Linked DNA regions of Rhinolophus ferrumequinum. The protein of the gene in region 3 purifies or fractionates together with the protein of the main gene of each other region. This does not show direct contact. Links are inferred from orthologs where the notes say so. Each region holds a gene or a part of one and is shown on either strand. Other genes may lie near its edges.

Evidence for each region. Proteins that work in one complex are often made in the same cells at the same time.
Region 1: the proteins of TNRC6B (region 3) and AGO4 purify together in Homo sapiens (co-immunoprecipitation; 3 studies listed by BioGRID and IntAct, with this or other methods). This does not show direct contact. The link is inferred for Rhinolophus ferrumequinum from reciprocal best matches to the Homo sapiens genes TNRC6B and AGO4.
Region 2: the proteins of TNRC6B (region 3) and AGO3 purify together in Homo sapiens (affinity purification with mass spectrometry; 6 studies listed by BioGRID and IntAct, with this or other methods). This does not show direct contact. The link is inferred for Rhinolophus ferrumequinum from reciprocal best matches to the Homo sapiens genes TNRC6B and AGO3.

Annotation. Positions count from the first base shown.
Region 1 is NC_046292.1:24,850,327-24,857,905, forward strand, and holds the start of AGO4 (protein argonaute-4), read left to right. Parts: upstream 1-4,303; 5' UTR 4,304-4,500; coding exon 4,501-4,519; intron 4,520-7,579.
Region 2 is NC_046292.1:24,945,204-24,953,262, forward strand, and holds the start of AGO3 (protein argonaute-3), read left to right. Parts: upstream 1-4,783; 5' UTR 4,784-5,141; coding exon of another isoform or gene 5,142-5,145; coding exon 5,146-5,164; intron 5,165-8,059.
Region 3 is NC_046293.1:7,522,779-7,530,502, reverse strand, and holds the start of TNRC6B (trinucleotide repeat-containing gene 6B protein), read left to right. Parts: upstream 1-4,641; 5' UTR 4,642-4,654; coding exon 4,655-4,699; intron 4,700-7,724.

The DNA.
Region 1 (7,579 bases), on a different chromosome or scaffold from region 3:
TCATAATAAGATACCCATTATACACATGAGGATAGCTATAATGTTTTTTTTTTACTCTGAAAATAACAAGTGTTGGCAAACATGTGGAGAAATTAGAACCCTTATATATTGCTGATGGGAATATAAAATAATGCAGCCACTGTGGAAAACAGTTTCTCAAAAAGTTAAACAGAATTAACATATAACACTGAATATCTACTCCTAGGTATAAACCCAAAAGAATTGAAAACTGATGTCCACAAAAGAACTTGAACATGAATGTTCAAAGCAGCAGAATTACAGCCAAAACGTGGTAACAACCCAATGTCCATCATCTGACGAATGGATAAACAATATATGATGTATACATACAATAGAATATTATTCAGCCATAAAAAAGGAATGAAATACTGCTACCTGCTACAACATGGATGAACCTTGAAATCATTATGCTAAGTGAAAGAAACTAGAGACAAAAGGCCATATATTGTGTGATTCCATGTATCTGAGATGTTCAGAACAGGCAAGTCCAGATGCAGAAAGTAAATTAGTGGTTACCAGGGGCTGGGGGGAGGAAGGAATGGAGAATGACTACTAACAGGTACAGGGTTTCTATTTGGAGAGATGAAAAGGTTCTGGAATTAGATAGTAGTGATTATTGCACAACCTTATGAATACACTAAAAACCACTGAATTTTATATTTTAAAAGGGTGAATTTTATCGTATGTGAATTATTTCTCAATTAAAAAATGCAAAATGGCAAGGCTGCCAATGGAGTACGAGCAGACGGGCAGAAATTCCATCTGGATGCCAAGTGACTGAGTTCCTGTCCCCAATGAAAGTCCCGGTCCTCCTCAGCCAGAAGGGGCTCCACTTCAGTTCCCACCTAAGATTCTTGTTTCAATAATGGGTTCCCCAGCTAAACAAGAGTGGAAGCCCCTGGCCCAATTGATCAACTGTAAAGAAGCTCTTTCTCGACTTCTAAGTTCCAGACTTGTGGAAAGTTAGTATGAGGAGAAGCTGAGGAGTCAAACACCGGCAGAGACCAGCAGCCCAGACAAGCATTTTAGTGTCAAAAGCAGCGTGCGGGGCTGGAGCCCTGCCTTCTGGCAGTGTCCACTAGCAAGGCTCTCTCTGGCTCCCTCTGGTCTCAGGAGAGCATTGGCATGTTGGAAAAGTTCAGTTCCATTCATAAACCTTGATGGAGCATGTTCTGGCTCTCACCCCTAGAAAGAGGAGCCAAGTCACTGCCCCCAGGTGGCTCAGGAACAGGATGTGTAAACATGCTCAGTCACTGACAGCTCTGCTCCCTCTCTTGTACTGAGCTAAGATCTTGAGCTCACTGTCCCCCCAAGGGACAGCGTGGCAGCAGCAGGGGAGCAGCTTTTAGCTGTGGAAAAGGAGGGAAGAGAATTAGTCACTATTGGGCACTTCCTCTGTGCCAGAGACAAAGGAACTTGCATATATATGATTTAACTTCCTCCTCACAACATCCTTGAGCAGTATGTGAAGCGACTTGTCCCAGGTGCTTAGAACTAGTATGTTGTGGAACTGGGATTTGAACCCAGGACCACCTAATTTGAAAGTCTGTGCTCTGGAGAAGCTGGAAGTTCACCTAGCCTGGATTGTTTCACTTCCACTGGACCATTTCTAGCTCCCACTGTTTGTACAACTTGCTCATGCATTCACTTATTCATTCCATAAGTTTCCCTGATTGGCATTTGGTGTCAGATAATATGGTAGGCAGTAGAGACACAAACCTGACTACCTGAACAAGGCATAGCCCTGTCCTCAAGGGTTTATAATGTCATGGGAGCCAGGCCTGGACTGAGATATAAGACTAGGAGCTGAGTTAATTATACCACCAAGAGAGGCCCTGTGGTGGTTTGGCCAGATGGCAAGTGGTTTTAATATGACACTGAGAACTCAAGGTTTGGTGCAATCGGGGCAAATATATTGCCAATTCTCTACCCTCCCTCACCCTGTCCTGTAGATGTGTGAGGTGTGGAACAATGAGTAGCCACCATCAGAGAGAGCTGAGGGGGAAGTGGTATTCTGGGGCACAGCTTCTCAGCCACAGCCGGAAGTAGAGGGAGGGCTTGCTGAACAGACTGAGGTTCAGGGGAGTTTATTGACAATAGAACTTTAGTTTGGGAGGGCTCAGTCAGAAGGGTCTTCAGGAAGAGGACAGTGGTTCCTGAGTGGGAGTGAGTTTTCGAATGAGAATGTAGGTGATCAGAGTGGTCAAGAACAACAGGAGTGAGAGACGGAGGGACTGAGTCATTGCAGTCTGACGGAAACTATGGAGTAAATACATTTTCTACTCAGGTTTCCGAAGCTATTTTCAGTACAGGAAACAAGCTATGGTCTCTGCTTAGGGTACCAAATAGAATACGGGGAAACTTTGTTAGGAAGTGAGAGTGGAAAAGTCAACCTCAAACCAGGCTGGGAGCTACCAGCACTGTTTAAATTGTTGGAAGACTTAGCCTGGAGTGGAGAAGAAGGGAGGTGGATGCAAGGTTTAACTCAGAACTTGATCTCTGGTTGGTTTTTCTTATCCTCTTAGCTATAAACCGGTTTGCTCATTTAGTGAATACTTCCTCCCTTTCAAACTGTCAGGCCCCTAATATTGTTTCCAGTTAATACCTGGTTTAACAGAGAAGTGGCATGGTGCTATGGAAAGGAGTCGGAGGATGGTATCAGTAGACTAGAATCTAGTCACTCAATTAAAAGTCCCAATTCATAGCCAGGCAGGGATGGACTCAGCAGGATTAGAATGCAGGATTTAGAATGCCAATTTTTCCATGCATCACTGCCGTGTTATATAAGGCAGAGCCTGACTTCCTTAGCTTCCTCAAGCTTTGGTTTCCTCATCTGTACAGATACTTTCCTTAATGATATCTACCTTATAGGTGGCTATGAAGATTACATGACACGTGACATCTATTATACAGTGTCTGGCCATGGTGTGCCCCTCACATTATCATTACATACAAAGTCATGTCGCTCTATGGCTGCACGTTGTGGGTGCTCAAATCAGTATCTCACTACACAGCCCATTCATATGGGCTGAATTGTGTCCCCCTCAAAATCCGTATGTTGAAACCCTAACCCCCAGTAGCGTAGAATGTGACTATATTGGGAGGTAAGGTCTTTAAAGAGATACGTTAAAACAAAGTTTGGAAGGTAGGACCTAATCCATTATGACTGGTGCCATTCATTATAAGAAGAAGAAATGTGGACACAGACGTGTACAGAGGGAAACACATGTGAAAACACAGGGAGAAGGTGGTCATCTACAAAGAAAGAACTCAGAAGGAACCAATCCTTGATCTTGGATGTCTCCAGAACTGTGAGAAAATAAATTTTCCTTGTACTGGCAGCACTAGCAAATACAACACATACATATACATTGTACCTTTTTAACTGGTGGGCCGAGAGCTCCCTCATTCTGCTGACTAGCAACTGCGTCTTGGCCTGTACTCGTCTGTTCTCCAACTCAAAGTCCCAACTAAAAGCTCCAAGGATGCTAGGCTGACCATGATGCCAAGGACGCTGCCCCCTTAGCTCTTGGTTGCTAAAGTGAAGTCACCCGAGACAGCAAGACTTTTTTCTTTTGAAGTGACTGGTGACTTGCTGACCAGAGTTGCTTGTCATAGGACAAGCCAGAGAACGCATCATTCATTCATCATGGCCCGTTCCCAAGGTGCTTTCTGGCTGCATGTGGAGGGAAGGGCAACTGGGTATGCGGTGCTGGATGAAGAAATGAAGGAAAAGTGCTGTGGTGACTGTGATGTTCTCTGTCCCAGGACAGTGGAGAAAGAGGAGACTGACAGAATAGAAAGAAGTGGTCTGGGGTGGGAGGAAGGAGGACAGGTACCTGATGTGAATCTCAGGACACTTTCCACCGACAAGTGGAGACTGTGCCTGCATTTCAGCGGGGTCTGGAATCCCGATCTTTGGCGCTGCACTGTGTGTCAGGCTCTGGGAGGATTGCAATAGCCCCCCAAAAGCCGTATGTCCGGGATGGCCGCCCTGGGCAGACAGGGCACTGTGGGCGGGCGCGCGCACACCCGACACGTCCTCGGGGCACTGCCCCCTCCGGGCGCGCGCCCGACCAGCCCCACCCCTGCCCCTTGCCCCTCGCAGGGCTCGGTAGACCCGGCGCCCGGGGCCGCGCACGCCCCCTCCGCGATCCGGTACCCCGAGCCGCGCGCGCCCTGCGCCCCGTCCCCGCCCGCCGGGAGCGCGCGCTAGCTCCCGCTCCCGCTGGCAGCGGCGGCGGCGGGGATTGTTTTTGTTGTCGCTGAGGCCGGAAGAGCCGCGGGAGTCGGGTCCCTGTCCGCGGGCCGGGCGCCGCCGCCGCCCCCTGCCCAGCGCCCGCGTCTCCGCGGCGCTCCTCCCCGCCCAGCGCCAAGATTCCGGAGATCAAGCGTTACGCGGCGGCGGCGGCGGCGGCGGCGGCGGGGCCCGGAGCGGGAGGCGCCGGGGACCGGGGCGAGGCGGCCCCCGCCGCCGCCATGGAGGCGCTGGGACCCGGTGAGGAGCGCGCTCGGGCCGGGGTCGGAATCGGGCCCCGGGACGGGTGGGTGGGCAGGCGGGACCGTCGCTCCTCGTCGCCCCCATCGGCTCGCACATAACCCGGGTTCCGGCCGTCAGGCCCGGGGGAAGGAACCCGTGTCCCATTGCACAAGGCGGAGGGAGCTGACCCGGGGGCGGGGACCGCGCCCCAGCCTGGAGAGAAGAGCCAGATCTCAAGGTCTAAGAGAGGGAGGCCGAGGAAGGTGGCCGCGTCCTCAGGTAGAGGGGAGACCGGACCCAACCTCACAGAGGTGTTCTGTGCTCCAGGGTTGAGGCGAGGCCAGTTTGGGCCTCAGAAGGGACTATCTGTGCCAGGTGCGCTGTAGAGGCTTGGCCTGGACCAGACAGGGAACGTCCCCCACCTACTACCAGGGGTATTCTTGATTTGGGGCCTCAGCCCTAGTTTTTAAATTTATTTTTTATTTTTGCACTGGGAGACGGTCCAGGGCCCTCAGATAAGGAAGGAGAACTTCCCCCAAACACTTCTGATGAACCCCGAAGATCAAGGGGCAAAGTACCCACCTTTTCTGGAAGGCCCTGAAGTCTCGGGGAATATGGTCCTTTTCTTCTGTCAGTCTGTGTGACAGTCCTAGAGTTGTCTGGGCTAGCGCCGTAGTGACAGGCGAGTTAGCAGCCAGCCAGCCAGCCGTCGCTAGCACAGGCTTTAATGCCCTAAGTTCTCTTCTAATTGGGTTATGAGTGGTTCTCCAGGATCAAATGAAGGAGAAAGTGCTTTGGAAAGTGTAATTGCCCATCTTTGTGAATCACCTCTGGTTATCTCCCCAACTCTGCCCAAACCAGAGAAACCATTCCAGGTTGTAACAAGTGCCCTGCTGATTGGAGCCTGGTGCTCCCACCTCCAACCCCAACAGGTTTGTAATGCCTAGCTAAGTAGGGCAGGGTTTATGGGCTGTGGTAGAATTAACTTTACTATCAAATCTTATCTACGTAGGGAACCTCGTGGTAGAGCATTGCATTTTCTTTAGTGCATAGAAAATTCACTTTACCATTTGAGTTTGGAAACTTTGCAGGTTTGTTTACTTACAACTTGTTCACCTCACTGAGTGATTAAATCCCACCTTAATTTGCTGCTTAAACTATTTTTTTAAAGGCCCTCATAATCAAATTTCATATGCCTTTTAAAAATAAATTGGTTTTGTCACACTACTATGATTTGATAAACCTCAGTGTGAGTATTATGCTGGGTTACTTCAGCTATGGCCCCTGGCTAAAGGGATGATCAAGTCTTTAGGAATGTAACAGACTTCTATTCAAATCCAATCTAGCAATTTAATAGTTGTATAACCTTGGGCAAATTACTTAATTCCTTTGAACTTTCATTTCCTCATCTATAAAATGAAGGTAATAATCATTATGTGCTGCAAGATTGTTGTGAGAATGAAATGCGATGATGTATGTGTGTATGTGAGTTTTATTGTAGAGACTAATACATTATAGATACTCAACAAATGTTTCTTCCCTCCCTCCCCTGTTCATAACTCATAATTGAAGCAACTGTTGCATTTATGAGCTCGTATTGAAAGAGACTATATAACTGTGTGTACAAACTGAATTTCATGGAAAAGATCAACTTGGTAGCGTTAGAAATGTCCCAAGGACTCTTTTTGGTTTGATTTTAGCTTTTGCAGATTTGAGGACTTATCAGTTCACCCAGGACCGTGGAAAATTAATTTTCACCACATTTATAAGATGCTAATGCATAAAACAAAATGTCACATAGATGTTTTCTGTTGACTGCAATATTTTCTTGTCTGCTCTCTAACAAACTGCTTTTTTGGTGTCACAGTACCTTGGAAACCCAATTAATAACAAGAAGCTGCTTGCCAACCGTAGAATCAGAGCAAAGGGAGTTGGTAGTCTTGTGGGATATTTCACACAGGTTGTTTTAGAACCTAGAGAAGCTTTCCTGCTTCTTTGTTAAAGCGCACCGATCTAGTACTTTGTGCCCTCCTCACTTGAACAATCATTGAAACATTCTTAGTCTTGCTCTGCTCTCCCTTACCTCATTTTGATTTCTGACAATAATATATTGGAATTATATTTAATTAGAATACCATCTATTTTGGTTATGTTGGCAATAACTTATTTTTACCGTGCTTTACAGTTTGAAAAGTGCTTTCATAGCTCATCTGATCTTCTGTGAAGTAAGCAAGGCAGGTATTATCCCCATTTTACAGATGAGTAAAGGGGTGCAGAAAGCTTGAGTGATTTCATTAAGGTCTTGAGGCTGTATGGTAAAATGAGGATGAGTCTGGGTCCTCTGACTTATAGTCTAATGCCCTCCTTTTCATTTACGGCTAACTTCTTCCAATCTATGTTGAGTCATACTTTTCTGACTGGAAGGTATAAATTTCTGACTTTGTCACCAAGTTTTGGAGATTCCCCCAATATAAAGCCCAGGGATCTTTGAGCACTATAACATTTATGCAAATGCAATCATAGTAGCTAACTAACATCTATTGAGCACTTACTATCACGAGGCACTGTGTTAAGCCTTTTATATACATTATGTCATGGGATCCTCACAATAGCCTTAAGAAATAGATGCTATTATTACCATATACCCCCATTTTATAGATAAGAAAACTGAGGCACAGAGAGGCTAAGGAACTGGCCCTAGGTCATTCAGTTAGGAAATGGTAAACCAGGATTAAAACCCAGGCAGTATGGCTCCAGAGCTTAAGCCACTGTGCTTTATTTCTTTGTAAGAAGTTTACTAAACTCAAAGAAACCAGCTTTTGGGATGGAAAATTTTAGAACTTAGTTTTCTAAATAAATCTTCTAAACGTATTAAAAGAAAATCACTTTCTGACTTTTCTTTCTTGCCAAGGAAAAGAAACACGCTTTTTGCTTTTCTCTATTACTTACCCCTTTTCTTTCATTTCCTCTGCCTCTGTCCCTTTGGCATCAACTACTGTGTTTCCCCGAAAATAAGACCTAGCCGGACTATCAGCTCTAATGCGTCTTTTGGAGCAAAAATTAATTTAAGACCCGGTC
Region 2 (8,059 bases), on a different chromosome or scaffold from region 3:
ACAGGGCCCAGTGAGAAATTTTCAGTGGCAGCTATTATGTACATAAGTGGGCCCTAACATTCCCCTGGAGGCCAAGTGTTGTGACTCTTCAAATTGCAGAGCTAACCTGTGGCTACCACCTGACAAATTCCCTTGGGAGCAAGCCAGCCAGACTGCATGCTCCTTTTTAGAAGTGAGGGTGAGTGGGCTTGGTTGTACTTTAAATGCAAATTGGAACATGGGGGAGATTTTTCCCAATTGAAATAAGACTTAAAATAAATTTATGACCCTTAGTAAAGCAGAAGTAGTTAGCAGAGCAAGGAGGAGGATGATCATTACGGCCCTTTTTTTCTTTTGCCATACATTTCAATTTTATTAATGATTGATGTTAAAAAAGGTTTCACGATTTGCCTGTTGGTTGCTGCTCAAGAGAAAAAGATGATGGGAGCCCAAGGCCTGATTTGTCTGGTCCTGGAGCCTAAGGTATTAAGTTAAGGGTTGTCCTAGCACCCTGGATATCCCTTTGCAGTATTGGTGGGGCAGCCTTCCCTCTGCCCTGTCATTCAGCAACATGTATTGTAGCACGTTTTTATCTAGCAAGTGGCTTGGAGCAGAGTGAGAGTGGGTATTTGTTGGATATCTCTTGGCTTAGCAGACCCCGAATCTCGTGGCAGTTAGGGTTTGAGGGCTAAAGGAAAGGGTTACAGTACAAAGAGAAGACTATTTTCAAGTTCTGAGTCTGGGCAATTTCCAGACTGTTGCATGTACTGTTTGAATGGCAAGTCGCATTGAATTGTCGCAAATAGCTCTCCCTGTTTCTAGCTTTCAAGACATTTATTCCTCTGGCTATCAGCTGAGGAAACCTGGCAAGCTTAGAAATGCAGAGCATGAGAGAGGCACTCCTGTAAAGCAGCTATGTCAAGGAGTAGCTGGAAAAGTGGACTTGCTGGGGACAAGGTACATTTTAGAAGTTCTTCACTTGAGCACCATGACTATCTTCCCCAGGATGCCATATCGAGGTTTTTTAGGCCAGCGTGGCTTGCCCTGCAGGAACACATTGTCCTCTGCTCTGGACTGCAGCAGCTTCACCACTATCTTCTTGGCGGTGTCCTTTTGGGACAGAAATCTGAGGGACCTTTCTAAGGAGCCCTCCATCCCTCGTCCCCACCTATTGAAGGCAAGTAACTTTCTTAAAGGAGGCAGTAGGAGATCCCAGCCAGTTTTTTTGAAAAAGCTTATGGATTGTTAATGGAAGTGAACTGAAAAAGGAGGCTTGGGAACTTTGAAGTATTTGGCTAGGTGTTTTGTACAGTATCTGTTTATCTTATTTAATTGCATCAGCACAGCATTCATGTGGAGTGATTTATCAATTACCTTCAGTTGCATATAACAAAACTCCCATTAAGTTGGCTTAAATAAGGAAACTAGTACATGACAAGATGTCCGGATTTAATATGGCCCCAAGGTTGATTAATTCAGTGGCTCAATGATAAAACCAACAAACCAGGTTCTTGCAGTCTTTTTGTTCTGCTATCCTCTATGTTGGTTTACCCTCATGCTAGTTCACCTAAGGGTCCCAGATGGCTTCCATAATTCCAGGAAGGAAATGCGGACAAAACAGTGTCTTGCAGAAGAGGGACTAAGTTTTTCCAATGTTTCATGTAAAGTAAGAAAATCCTTGGAAGCCCCAGCTGATCTGGCATAATGTCTCATTTGCTAGAACTGGGTCATCTTCCCACTCCTGTCATTGGCAAAGCAAATAAGATCATCCATCATGAGTGGCTTAATTAGGAGTTACCTCTAACTTGTGTGGCTTAGAAAGAAAGGCAAATCATGTCTGTTAGACAAGAAAGAAGGGCTGTTGGGTAGGTATCCAGCAGTGTCTGCTCTACTCAAGTCCTCTGGTTTTTACAGAGGAGGAATATGAGGCTCAGAGTGACTTTCCTAGGATCACAGATAGTAGCAGAGGGCCTGCAGTCTCAGCTCTGAGTGTCCCTAAAGCCAGTATGTTTTATACTGTGTCCTGCTGCAGTACAAAGTACAGCAGACCCTTGAACAACACAGGTTTGAACTTTGTAGGTCCACTTATGTGCGGATTTTTTTCAATACATATACAGTCGGCCCTGTGTATCCCCCCAGGTTTTACGTCCGTGGATCCAACCAGCTGTGGACCAAAAACAGTATTTTCAGTCCCTGGTTCAGAGTCCATGGATGTGGAAAGCACACTACATGTTCTACACCATTTTATATAAGGGACTTGCGCATCCTTGGATTTTGGTGTCCACAGGGTCCTGGAGCCAATCACTCCAGGTCCTGAAGGATATCTCTAGTTAAGTTTTTGAGGAGCTAAAAGTCATACATAGGTTCTCAACTCCCTGGGAGTCAGCACCCCTAACCTCCGTGTTGTTCAGGGGTCAACTCTAGCTTTCTGCTGTTTAAAAACTGGTCTAGGAGAAGAGATTTGAACCCAAGTGTCAAGTCCACTACAGCTCATGGGAGAGGAGAGGATTCTCTCCAGTTGTTCTCATCCAGAAATGATGTGTGTAGCACAGAAAGCCTAGGGATGCACCTTTCAGCAAGCATTGATTTCCTTTCCCCTGAGATTTCTCTATTTTGTAGTTCTCCCTTCTGAGAGCAACCAGTGCCACGTCAGATGAGGGCAGAGTTTTAGCCTGCTTCCTGAGCCCCATTCTTGAAGCCCACTCATTTATTCATGCATCCCACAAGTATTTACAGAATGTCGATATGTGCCAGGCACTGGCACTGTTGTAGGCACGGGCTATGACAGTTAACAAGATGCACAATGGCACTGTTCTATGCCCTTAAGAACAGACTCCTTTGGGAATGAGGGTATTCAAAACTAGTGTGTGCACGTGGTCAGGGGAAAGCCTCATACAACTTTGCTTTTGGCAGAATCATTCAAACGTTTTTTGCCTTCCCACTTCCTGATACTATAATTCATGAACCTTTCACTTGGGCCTGTTCTGAAGAGGTGGGGGTCCCTGGATAGCAGAAGTAGGTGGGAAGGCATCATTGACATTTATTAAACTGGATCTAATTAGAAAGTCCAAATCCTGCTTCATCAATGTCAGCAAAGAAGACAGTGGCCCACCTCCAGGGTTCATCACCGTCAACATGTTTATTCTGGGAGATGCCGAAGAAGCCTGCAGTCACTTGAGGAACCAGTTCTAGAATTGGGGGTTGAAGGTGTGCTAGACCTTTGCACAACAGTTGGTATTTACCCTGTCAGATGCTGCTATAGATTTGGATTTGTCTAGTCAAGGATTGAAAATAACTTTGAAGATACAGTGTTTCATCTGGTGACATTTAATTTGATATTTTAAAATTGGGGAGGGCATTTTCAGTAAATGGGTTATGGATGGGAAGGAAAAAGAGAGAAAGAAGTGGTATCAGATGTGGGTTTGAATCCCACCCATTTATGAAGTGTTTACAGTATGTGTATCTAGTAAGTGCTTTAAAATGGTAAATACAGTAAATACTTTTTTATTCACTAACATTTAGGGAGGGTTTTCTGTGCTTTATGCACATTCCCTAATCTCACAACTACTATAAGGTACATATTCTCTCCAGTTTTCAGAAGAGGAACCTGAAGCCAGGAGGCTCAAGTGATTGATCCAAAGTCCCAGTGATTGAAGGGGGGGGAAGGGGATGATTTAAGATAGGATACTTTCTCTCCTTTTCCTCTTTGTCCCAGCTTTTAAAAAAAGAATGTACTTTGATTTTTTAAAGTCTAAACAACATTACTACTGATGGTTAGGAACATAGGGAAAAGTCATGAATCATTCAGCCTGAGTAAAATAGTATCACCTTTCATTAAAGGAAACAAATATTAAGGACCTACTATTTGCCAGTTAATGTGCTTGTCCTAGTAACCTAATCTTACATACTATTGGTAGAGGGGGCACACAATAAACTAGTAAAAACAAATTACAGATTAGAACAGGATTATTAAGGAAATACTGTAATAGAAAAACGGGTGCCCTCCCATAGCCGAAAAAGCCTAAGTCTTAAATTGAGGTGTAAAAAGGAGGGGCGGGGTGGAGAGAAAGAAGAGGGTTCCTTGCCGAGGGAACTGAAAGCTGAGAGACTCCCAATAGCAAAAAGAAGCGCTTTGCCCGTTGGGGGAGTTAGACCAGCATAGCTGTAGCATAGTGAAGTCTTGCTTGAAGAGAAAAGCTGGGCCCCCGTCACACAGTGCGTTTGGGCCCTGGAGAGGAGTTTGGGTCTTAGTGTGACGAGACACTATTAAAGAGTTTTAAACATGGAAATTATTCGATCTGATGTTTGTGTAATGTCCTGGTTCTTAATCTTCTCCCAAGCTAAATTGTACATTTTACCCCCCAAATCGTCGTCAAAGAAACCCTGCGGACTTGGAGTGATCCACTGTAGTGGTTACTTGACCAACTAGTTGAGGAGGAGGCGCGTGGGGTCGCCCCAACTGGGCGTGGAGGGAGAGGCTCGGGAAGGAGGGTGGCCCTGCACCTTGACCAGCCTCGCTCCAGGTAGCTCCTCCCCAGGTAAGCGACACCGCCCTCCGCGACGTCGCAGGCAGGCAGGGCTCCGCACCAGGGTGGCCCGAGGAGCCCAGCCCCGCCGGGTCGTCTCCAGCCGGCACAGCCCAGCGGAGGCTCCGCCCCGCCCCGCTGCGCGTGCCCCAAGCTCCGCCCACGCTAGTCGCCCTCTCCCCACACCTCCCCTGCGTCCCCCGCGCCGGCCGCGTCCGCACCGACGTCGCGCCCGCACGGCTTGGGACGGAGAGGCGAGGCTTGGACGTCCGGCGAGCCGGGGCAGCGGAACTGACGCCAGCGGGCTTCCGGGGACGGCCCCGGGGGAGGTCGGCCGCGGCGCCGCAGTCGTGGAGGGGCAGCCCGAGCGTCAGCGGCCGCGGGCGACGCAAGTTCCGCACCGCGCTCCCCTCTCCTCGCCTCACGCTTCTCCTTCCTCTCGCCTAGTGGCGTGCTGCCTCCCGACGGCGGCTCTTCCTGACGAGAGCTTTCGGAGCGCGCTCGCTGAGAGGAAGCGGTCGCCACCCCGCCTCGGGGCCGAGTGAGAGTGCCTGTCGCGCCGCGTCGCCCCCTTCGCCGCCTCCTTGCCCCCCAGTGGCGGGCGCCCTTCTCGCTGGAAGCACTCCCCCCAGCTCCATGAATGGAAATCGGCTCCGCAGGTGAGTGTGTCCCATGCTGGCCCGGTCGGTGGGGGTGTCCCCAGAGCATCGTCGCTCCCTCAGCCTCGGCCCCGTCGCGCGAGGTGAGCGCCGTCCGGGCGGCTCCCCCTCGCCGACCCCCGCTCGGCCCCTCCTCCGCCTTCCCGCAGCCCCGCCGCAGTTCCCGGGAGCCACTGAATTGGCGACCCGGCGGGGAGGGGACACTGCTGAGAGGATTGAAGTTTGGGGTTCTCTAGTCGATAGTGCTCTTCTTTTCCTGGGGTCTAGAAGGGTTTGCCATCGCTTTTGTTATTCCGGTTGGAGGTGTAACGGTGTGCGTGTCCTTTTAACTGGGTTGTGTGTCCCGTAGAGGCGCTGGGCAGGTAGCTCTCTCCCTTTCTTACCTCTGAAGGTAGTTGTGAAGATAACTGTGAGATAACAGATGAGGATTAAGTTTGAAATAGGTTTTAGTGCAACGTCAAATGCAAGATGACATTTCTCCCATCCCCGAGTTCTCTTCTGATGTTTGTAGCAGCGTGTTATGTAGTTCCTGAGGATCTTGGAAATGTCATATCAGCCTGGATCTCTGCTTATGTGAGGAGGTGGATCTTAAAATTGCTGACAGTATATTCTTTCATTCTCTATTCCCTAGAGGTTCGGTTGTCATATTCCTGGAAATTTGGAATGAAGAAAACTTTCTCTCCTTGTAAAAGGGTAGCCTTGAGAAAAAAATCGCAACTTGGACAGTACTTATTTGAAAGGAAAAAGAGCACTATGGTTCTAAAGTAATTAATTGAGGGACATAAAGTAGATGTTACATAACGGCTTGTTTTCCAAAGGAGCATTCATACTTGGTGTGTTAAATTTGAAAGTATGTTTCATCCAGTCACAGATTTATAAATTAATTTTCAAAATATTGGTGGTGGTGGTGGGCGTATTGTGACTAATGGTATCCCAAGTCCCTGAATTTCACATCATAGTTTGCTAGTTTGGGAGATATCTGAATATGAGATAAGAAAAACTTATGTAAAAGAAACCAGTGACATAATGATAAAGAATTTGTTAATTAGGTTAAGGAGTATAATTTTCAAGTAGATGCAGAAGCACTCAAATTATAGAGGTTGCGACAGGGTGAGAGGTTTATTACAAGTTTTATTATATGGAATTTTTAACTTTCTACTATACTCTTTACGGAATGTGATGATTTGGGGTTATAGGTGATTTTTATATAACTGTCCTGTTGTCAAGCCTGGAAAACAAAACATGAAAGTTAAACACTTTATTAATCATTCTAAAACTTTTAAAGATATGTCAAAAAAAAATTTTGAAGCTTTTTTTCCTTTGTCTTCTTTGGTTTTTTTACATGAAATTATGCCCAAATATATAGACATCTTAGAAAATTCTTCCGAAGTCAAACCACCTAACCAACTGATCCAGCTAGCCAAGTATGATTCAGTAAACGCTCCTGTGAATTCTTGAGCTAAGAATTGGACATCTTGAAATGCAGTTTATTATTCAGTGTAGTTTATACATAAGTGACTCTAATCTAATAAGGAAGATAAAGTACAATTTAGCTCAAGTTTGTCATCATTAAAAACAAAGTTTTCGTTTTTCCTGAAACTTATATGCAATTGTTAAATTACACATGAAATTGAAAGCATTGTTGGGAAAAATGTGCAACTAAGTTTTAAATAAAGAATTTGACAAGTACATACTCTGGTTTAAAAATTTTAGATGTAAATGTTCTCTACTAGGCTATTAAGTCAGTGTTGGATCTTGGCTCTCCAATTCTGTTCCAAGTTTTTCTTTTGTGTGGAGATTCTTAGAAATCATCTTATGACAGGATATTTTAAAATCTAGTCCTTAGGTGGATACATAGAAAACTTAAATTTATTTATATTAGAGGACTTTGAATACAAATACTGTAGTTTCTTGGTGAATCATCCCTCACTAAAAGTTATTTATCTGTTCTTCCCTTTTGCATGAAATATTTTAAGTGATTTTTAAGGGTGTCCTGTTCAATCTACTGATCTAGTGCTGTGTGAACTTTGATTTAACCCAAAAAGCTGCCACAATTGGTTTGTAAATAATAACAGTGTAGCATCTGTGCTTATGACTCCTTAGAGGAACTTCTGCTGAAACCCTATTTTTTATGGTTTAATTACAGCTGGGCTAAAAGTATATGTTATGTTTTAGTTCCAAATAGAGCGGGAATAGAGGAAGCAGAAATGTTCATTGAGATATCACTTCTCCAGAGTAGCTATTTTTTAGGACCTTAACTATTCTAGTCTGTATTTTTAGGTAAAGTCAGACTACTGTTTAGGGCAGACAGAATTGTACCTACCTTCCAATGGAAGAAAAACATTTACCTTACATTACTGTGCAAATAGATTTGACAGGTTTGGTAGTTGTCTTATACAATGTTGCAAAAGTGAATAGACTATGTTTCTGTCTTAGTTATACTTTGTGTTTGGATACTCTGCATTCTTGAACAATAAATATCAAGAAAAGTCATTTGAGAACAAGTTCCAAAAGAACAAAAATTTCATGTATGGAAGCTAGATTTAAATGAGGTAGAAAAAAGTGGGTTCAAAATACTAAAACAAATATAAGGCCATTAGGTTCTCAGTTGAATACTTAAACAATCTTTAATCACTTTGGAGAATGTTTTTATGATATAAATTTTTTCACTTGCATTTTTTTTGTCTTGGAAAAAAAAGTCAAACTGCTGCTCTGTCTGGAGGGCATTAATTTTGAACATGGAAAATGTTTTTCTACTTGGTTGTCACTTAAATTTTAGCTTGTGCTGCTTTGGAGTGGCCATTACATTATTTCCCCTAGTATTTGCTGCTTTTGCCTGGCAGTGGGACTTATAAAAATGTGCAAAATTATTTTGATTTTTGTTTTAGAATTTAA
Region 3 (7,724 bases):
TTTAACAGCTGATTTTTCTTGTTAGGCTTTATTCTTGTGTTATTTGGTCCCATATGTGGGTGAAATTTTAAAGATGTGGGAGTTACATAGCTGGCTGTAAAAGGATGCCAAATATTTGTTTTTAAAAAACAACTTTATTGAGGTGTAATTTGCATACCATAAAATTCACCCATTCTTGGTATACAATTAAAACATTTTTAGTAAATTTGCATAGTTGTTTAATCATCATCACAACCCAATTTTAGGACATTTCCATCATCCCAAAGAGACCCTTTATGCGTATTTGCTGTGAGTCTTCATTCCCACTCTCATGCCCAGATAACCACTAATTTACTTTCTGTCTGTATAGATTTGCCTTTTCTGAACATTTCATGTAAACAGAGTCATACAATATATGGCCTTTTGGGGATGGTTTCTTTTCAATGAGCATAATGATTCTGAGTTTCATCTATGTCATAGTATGTACCAGTAGTTCTTCCCTTTTTATTGCTGAGTAGTTTTCTAGTAGGTGGATGTACCATGGTTTTGGTTATCTATTCACCAGTTGATGGACATTTGGATTGTTTCCACTTCGGGCTATTATGAATAATTGCTGCTGTGAATATTCACATACACAAATGTTTGTTTTAATATTACATAAATAATTAATAACCAAATGAGAAAATCGGGAAATTTCATTGCAAAATATTTTAACCCCCAAGTTAAAATTTTATCTTAGACCATATCAGATTGCATTTTTACATTATATTAATTCTTTATGGTCCCTTAAAGGCCTTTACAGACTTGCAATTCAACAATAATCCTGGTGTTTTTAAGGTAATGAAACCTCATATAGTAAAGATTCACACTTAACAATATATTTTCATAGTCATTATTCGAGCCTCACACAATAGTCTCACAACTGTAGGTAGGACAAGTACTATTATTTGTCCCTCATCTGTTGTTCTCAGAGGGAGTCTCCACCTATATTCTGAGGTCATTGCTGCAGGAGCCTCATCCAGACTGTACGTCCAGTTTGTGGTCTACGGTACACACAGGATAGGGCAACATCAGGGACTACTCTTCTATGTGATACAGACCCACATCTGGAGTCTCTGTAGTTTATTCATGCACAGATACTCATGGAGCACCTAGTACGTGCCCGGCTCTATGATGGATGATGGGGGTTGAGATGTGAAAGATTTAACTCTCCAGAAGTTATCCGTAAGAGCTGTATACAAGCACATACCCTATGTTACGGAGCCGTGGGAACCCAGAGCAAGAGTAGGTATGGGGGAGGGGCTGTGGGGGTAGGCAGGACATTACCAGTGTGTTATTGATAATAATATTAGCTAACACCTAGTTAGTAATAATAGCTAATGCCTAGTGCTTACTCTCTCCCAGGCATGTTCCGAGCACTTTGCATACACTTCTCCATTTCATCTTCACAACCACCCAGTGAGGCAGGTCATATTTTTATCCTATTTTACAGATGAAGAAGTTACAAAACTAAGGTTGGTAAGTTGACCAAGGTCACCTTACCAGTAAATGGCAGGTCTGGAATTTGAACCAAGCAATGTGCCTCTAGACTCTGTGTCTCCTGAAGAAGTTTCTCACAGGAGATGACATCCAGCCTGTGTCTTGAGTGACAGTTTGTACTTAGTCTGGCAGGAGATTGGGATATGTCTACATGGTTTTTTAGACAGAGAAATATCATGAGTTAAGGTAAAAAGGAAGCACAGGTTGAGAGCAAGTATGGCAGACTACTTGTGAAGAATGGTGGGTGGCAAGAGATGAGACTAGAAAGATCGGACTGGACAATGAAGGGCCAGATGCCGTCTAAGGAGCTTGGTCCTGTGATCTCATTTTTAATGTTATACCAAAGATACCAGTTTTCTTAGTAATTATTTTCTTTTTCTTGCTTTCATTCTTCTTTATTGTGAAATATATCACAGAACCAGAAAAGTACATAAAATGCAAATGTAAAACTTAATGAATCGTTTTAAAAAACTACCTCTCAGGTCAAGAAATAGGACATTGCTGGGACACTGTAGCCCCTTTTTAGTGACCTTTGCTAGTCATTACCCCTGCCTTCCCACCTACAAGTAACTGCTCTTCTGATTTCTTTCTTTTCTTTCTACTTTTACTACTCATGTGTACCTCTAAACATTATAGTTCGGGCTGATTCTGAACACAGAGTCACATGCTATGAATTTTTTTGTATCTGGTCATTATGTTTGCGAGATTCACCCATGTTGTTGTGGGCTGCTGCTTCATTTTCGGTGCTGTATGGTATTCCATTTTATGAATATGCCAGAATGCATATTTATCTGTTTCACTATTGAGAATACTTGGGTTGTTCCCAGTTAGAAACTATTGTGAATGGTGCTGCTCTGAATATTTTTATACATGTCTTTTGGTGCACATGTCCATGAATTCTGCAGGGTATAAAGCTGGGAGTGTCATTGCTGGATCATGAAGTGTGTTTGTCTTTAACTTTAGAAGAATAATGCCAAACTGTATTCCAAAGTGGATATAACAACTCACACTCACACAAGTGGAGTATCAGAGTTCCTTCTGTTCCGTATCCTCAGCAATATTTGTTATTACCGTGTTTCCCTGAAAATAAGACCTACCTCAAAAATAAGCCCCAGTTAAGATTGTCAGCCAGATGGATGCATTTAGTATGTTCTGACGATGTTCCAGAAGAAGATGACGTGACTGTATTTGGATAAATGTAGACTGTTGTATCTGAAAAACTAAGACGTCCCCTGAAAATACGCCCTAATGCATCTTTTGTAACAAAAATTAATGTAAGACCTGGTCTTATTTTCAGGGAAACATGGTAGCAGACTACCATGTCAGCTAAAATTTGTAGCTATTCTGGCATCATCATGATTTTCTTTTGTATTTTCTTTTGTACTTTCTCACTTACTATTGAGGCTTGACATTTTTTCGGATGTTTATTGGCCATTTAGATTGTGTAGTTTTTTTGTTTGTTTGTTTGTTTGGTAATGTGCCTCATCTAATCTCTTCCCCATTTTCCTATTGAGTTATGTCTTTTGTTTTTAACTTTTAGAACTCTCTGTTATTTCGAATATGAGCCCTTTATTGGTTTTATGTGTTCTACTTTCTCACTTTCTTATGTCTTTTGATGAACAAAAATTCTGAATTTTCATATAGTCATATTTATTTTTTAGTAATAGGTACTTTTTGTGTCCTGTGTAAGAGAGCCCTCCCTACTCCTGTGTTATCTTCAAAAAGCTTTATTATTTATCTTTCACATTTGGGTGTGTAGTTCACCTGAAATTGATTTTTGTATATGTTAATTCCTAATTAACTTGTTAGTACTCCTCTGCCTTCAAAATACTTTTTACATTTTGTCCAGATTTTCTGATTGTCCTCAGCATTAGTTGGTCTGAATTACCTAGTTTACCATTCCCAGAGCAGAAATCTTTCAGAGTTTTAGTTTCACTTTGACTTCAGAATGGTCTGTTCTGTAAAGGGGCCTTAATAAATATGTTTACTACAAAAAACAAAAAAAAAACAACTGAAAAACTATATAGAGTCATGCTTTTTTCTGTTTTTTTTTAATTTAAGAGATCAAAAAAGAAGCTTCTGTTTCATCTGCTTTTCTCAACTATAAAATATTGTTAAGACAAGTGAAAACTTGCTGCATAAAATGAACAATTGTGCTTATTGCATATTAATTTTAGAGAATTAATCATGGTAAAATTTTAAATTAAAAACATCCATTATCAAACATTGACTTTGATGATAAAAACAGTTTAACCATGGGTATAGCCACCTCCCTTTCTCTGTCTGTCCACATAATTAAACCTCCCTTTTGGCCAGAGATGGACTGTATGCAAACCACATCCAGAATGCTTTTAGTTTGTGCCACAAAATATGAAGAAAATGTTTTCATTTTATGGCAACTAGATCCGTGACATATGAAGCTGCAGGAACTGTTTTTACAAGTGCACAAGATGCCCGGGAACGGGGGAGCAGACTCCCATGATTATTGGCAGGAAAAACCTGGCTACGTGGCTGATGTTAAATCTGCTTTTTACGACAGCCAGACCAAGAAATGTCTCCCGTATTGGAGCTGGTAGCAGTGAGATGATTTTTCACTCAGTAAACACAGCCTCGGGAAGCCATGCGAGGCAGTTTCTCGTGAGCCATTTACAGCTTCTAGGAGGAGAGCACAGTGTAGGCGCCACAGAGGAAACCCTGACGTGGCCTTCAGGGAATGTTGCTGGGGGACTTGCTGAGGGAGAGGCTCCTTGTCCCGCTGTCACCAGAACCCCACCTTGCCCTGCCGTTTGTCTCTCTGAGATTCACAATGGAGGTGAGCTAGATTGTAGCTCCAAAATGTTAGGAGTAAGAGTTGCGTACGTGGAAGTTAATGGCTTTCGAACCACACACTTCCTTCCTGCCCAGCCCTTGCTTATTAGATCACAGAACCCATTTTCTTTCTCTTTTAAAATTAATAATTAGCCAAAATTTGGTCTGGGGATCCCTCCCCGTTCCCCAATCCAGACCCTTTCAGGGGGTGTGTGAAGTCACAACTGTTTTATTAGTACTAAGATGATAAGCCTTTTAACTCATTCTCTCATGATTGTGCAGTGGAGTTTTCCAGAGGCTACGTGACATGTGAGACGCAAAGGATTGAATGCAGAAGCAGATCCTAGGGGCCAGCTGTTGTCTCTTAAGCCAGGTAGTAAAGATATCTGCAAAAATGTAAACAGTGGCACTTTTCTCAAAATTTTTATCCTTTAAAATATTTTTAATTTAAAAATGTTTAACATGTAATTGTTTAATATTTTTAAATGAATAGTTACGAATAAATATTTTTAAATTTTCATAGTTTAATTTTTAATGTGGTAAATACTGACAATTAATCCACATGAACAAAAGCTCTTTGGGGTTCTCAGTAATTTTTAAAATTCTGAAGCAGTCCTGAGACCAAAAAGTTTGAGAATCATTGCGTTAACCGCTGTCAGTTCCAGTTGGAATCCCAGTTTCTCTCTGAGGGCTGCATAGCTTGTCTAGCCCACTTTTTCTCTGTGTTCTCTAAATTTCTGTGCCGCACAGCTTCATGCTTGGTTTTTGTGGAATTGTTTGGCGTGCTAGTTTTCTCCTCCTTATCAGTAGTGTAAGACCTCTGAGGACAGGGATATCTTAAGTGAGAGGTTTTTGAGACGTTCATGATATATACTGCTGAGCACAGCATAAACAGTTGGTAATGGTTATTCGTATTATTATTTTCAATATCAATATTAAAATTTCCCAAACTCACTGGTTTATTGTAGAACCGAGACGCAGTTAAAATTTTGTGAACCTTAGTAGAAATAGCTATTTGATTAAAAAAAACTCATTAAATTAATATACAATATGGAAAAAGAATAAAGGGTTTTTGATCATAGATCATCAATAATTGGCTATAAAAGCTGAGCGTGTTAATCTATTTAATTTTTATGTGTCCAACAATGGCAGTAAAACCTGGCCACAGGCTCTTGTTGATGGCCATAGGCCGAGCGTAGTGCTGGGCGCTTAGTAAGCGTTCAGCAAAGCTGTTGAGTAGCTGCTTCTGCCCTTCTTATTACGGCTAGTCCCTGCCATCCCCGCCCCTACCGCCAAGTGACTAGCAGTTGGTTTAGTCTTCAGAAGGTAGCGTGCCTTTCTGGTAAAGAATTGGCAAATTGTCCTGGACTAAGCTAGAGAGCATTAATTAATTGACCAAACTGGGTTAGTAGCTGAAGGTGAGGCACTTGCCTTTGTCTTCACCCCGCTTCAGACTGAGTTTGTTTTTCTCAGGCAACCCTTGCTAAGAAGATGTAAAAATAAATTTAACATCTTTATGCCAGGATCCTGCTATTAGTTCCAAAGTTTGCGCACAGGCTCTCCCTGGAAGTCTGAGGGTCTCACGCAAATACCACACTGGCCTGAGATCCTGGCATTACTTTACCATGGTGTTCTAGAACAGAGCATGGTACCTGGTAGGTGGCTCATTCACTGAATGAATGAATGAATGAATGAATGAATGAATGAATGAATGGAGTCTGTACTGTAGCCCTGGACATACAGTTATAACTTATAAGCAGTGTCCTTATTTGAATAAACCAAGACTATTGCATTGAGTTTACTTTATTTTTTCCCCCAAAGTGTGTTTTTATTCCATAAGAGTTTATGGGGATGTCCTTTGCACTAGCACTGTTTTAAATGATGGTGATACAGTGATAAATCAGGCTCAGAGCCTGTCTTCAGGAAGCTAATAACCTAGTAGTATACACAGCGTACACAAGCCTCGTGGAAATATGTGCCAAGCACAGTTGCTAACTCAGAGGAAGGACCCATCCTGTAGCAAGAGAGAGGAATCAAGAAAGACTTCCTAGAAAAGGTTTCTCTATGCCTGCATCTTGAAGGTTGAAAAAGAATTTGCCTTGTGAGTGGGAAGACAGTCCAGGTGGAAATGGCATGTACAGGGTCAGAGGCACGTGAAACCATGCGGTGCTTAAGGGACACTGACAGCAGTGTGGTTTTGTGAGATGAAGCCGAGAGGTGAACTGGTACGGGGCCTTGTAGACCACACAGTGGGAATGGGACTTTCTCTCGAAGATGGATGAGAGACATTGCAAGGGCAGTGTGGGTTTGCACTTTGTAAAGGTGATTCTCATGGCAGCGGAGGTGGGGTTGGTCTTGAGGGTAAGAAAACAATTTAAAAAACAGTTGGAATAAATCTGATGAGAAACTATTGCAAAACTAAGGCCATGGCAGTAGGAACGGGGAAGAAAATACACACGGAAATATGTGGGGATTAGAATTGATAGAGTTTGGTGAGAAGATGATGCTGGTCATGGTCCCAGATTTTTCTTTTCTTTTTTTTTTTTTTAAAGATTTTATTGGGGAAGGGGAACAGGACTTTTATTGGGGAACAGTGTGTACTTCCAGGACTTTTTTTTTTTTTTTTCCAAGTCAAGTTGTTGTCCTTTCAATCTTAGTTGTGGAGGGCGCAGCTCAGCTCCAGGTCCAGTTGCCAGTTGCTAGTTGCAGGGGGCGCAGCCCACCATCCTGCTGGAAGGAGTCGAACCGGCAACCTTGTGGTTGAGAGGCCACGCTCCAACCAACGGAGCCATCCGGGAGCTCAGCGGCAGCTCAGCTCAAGGTGCCCTGTTCAATCTTAGTTGCAGGGGGCGGAGCCCACCATCCCTTGTGGGACTCGAGGAATCGAACCGGCAACCTTGTGGTCGAGAGCCCACTGGCCCATGTGGGAATCGAACCGGCAGTCTTCAGAGTTAGGAGCATGGAGCTCTAACTGCCTGAGCCACCGGGCCGGTCCCCAGATTTTTCTTTGAGTGAGATGATAGTATAATATTTCCAAGTGAGACAGAAGGAGGATACAGTTTGGGGGAAGGTTATTTTAGTTTTAGTTATGTTATGGGGACCCGTGGGACATGAGGTGGAGAAGTCCCCTGACATTCGTATGTCCCCATACAAAGGCAGTTGTATAGATAGATGGCCTTGAAGATTGTAGGAAAGGTCAACACTGGGGAGAGATTTGGGAGTCATCAAGATACAGGTAGTAGTTAAATCTATAGGAGAGGATAAGGACATGTATATCTAATAAATGGAGAAAGGGGAGGATGAACTCTTGAGGAACATACCAGTAATGAAAGGACAAGCAGAGGAAGACTGTCCATCAAAAGGGACTGGAAAGAAATGGTCTAAGAGGTAGCAAAAGT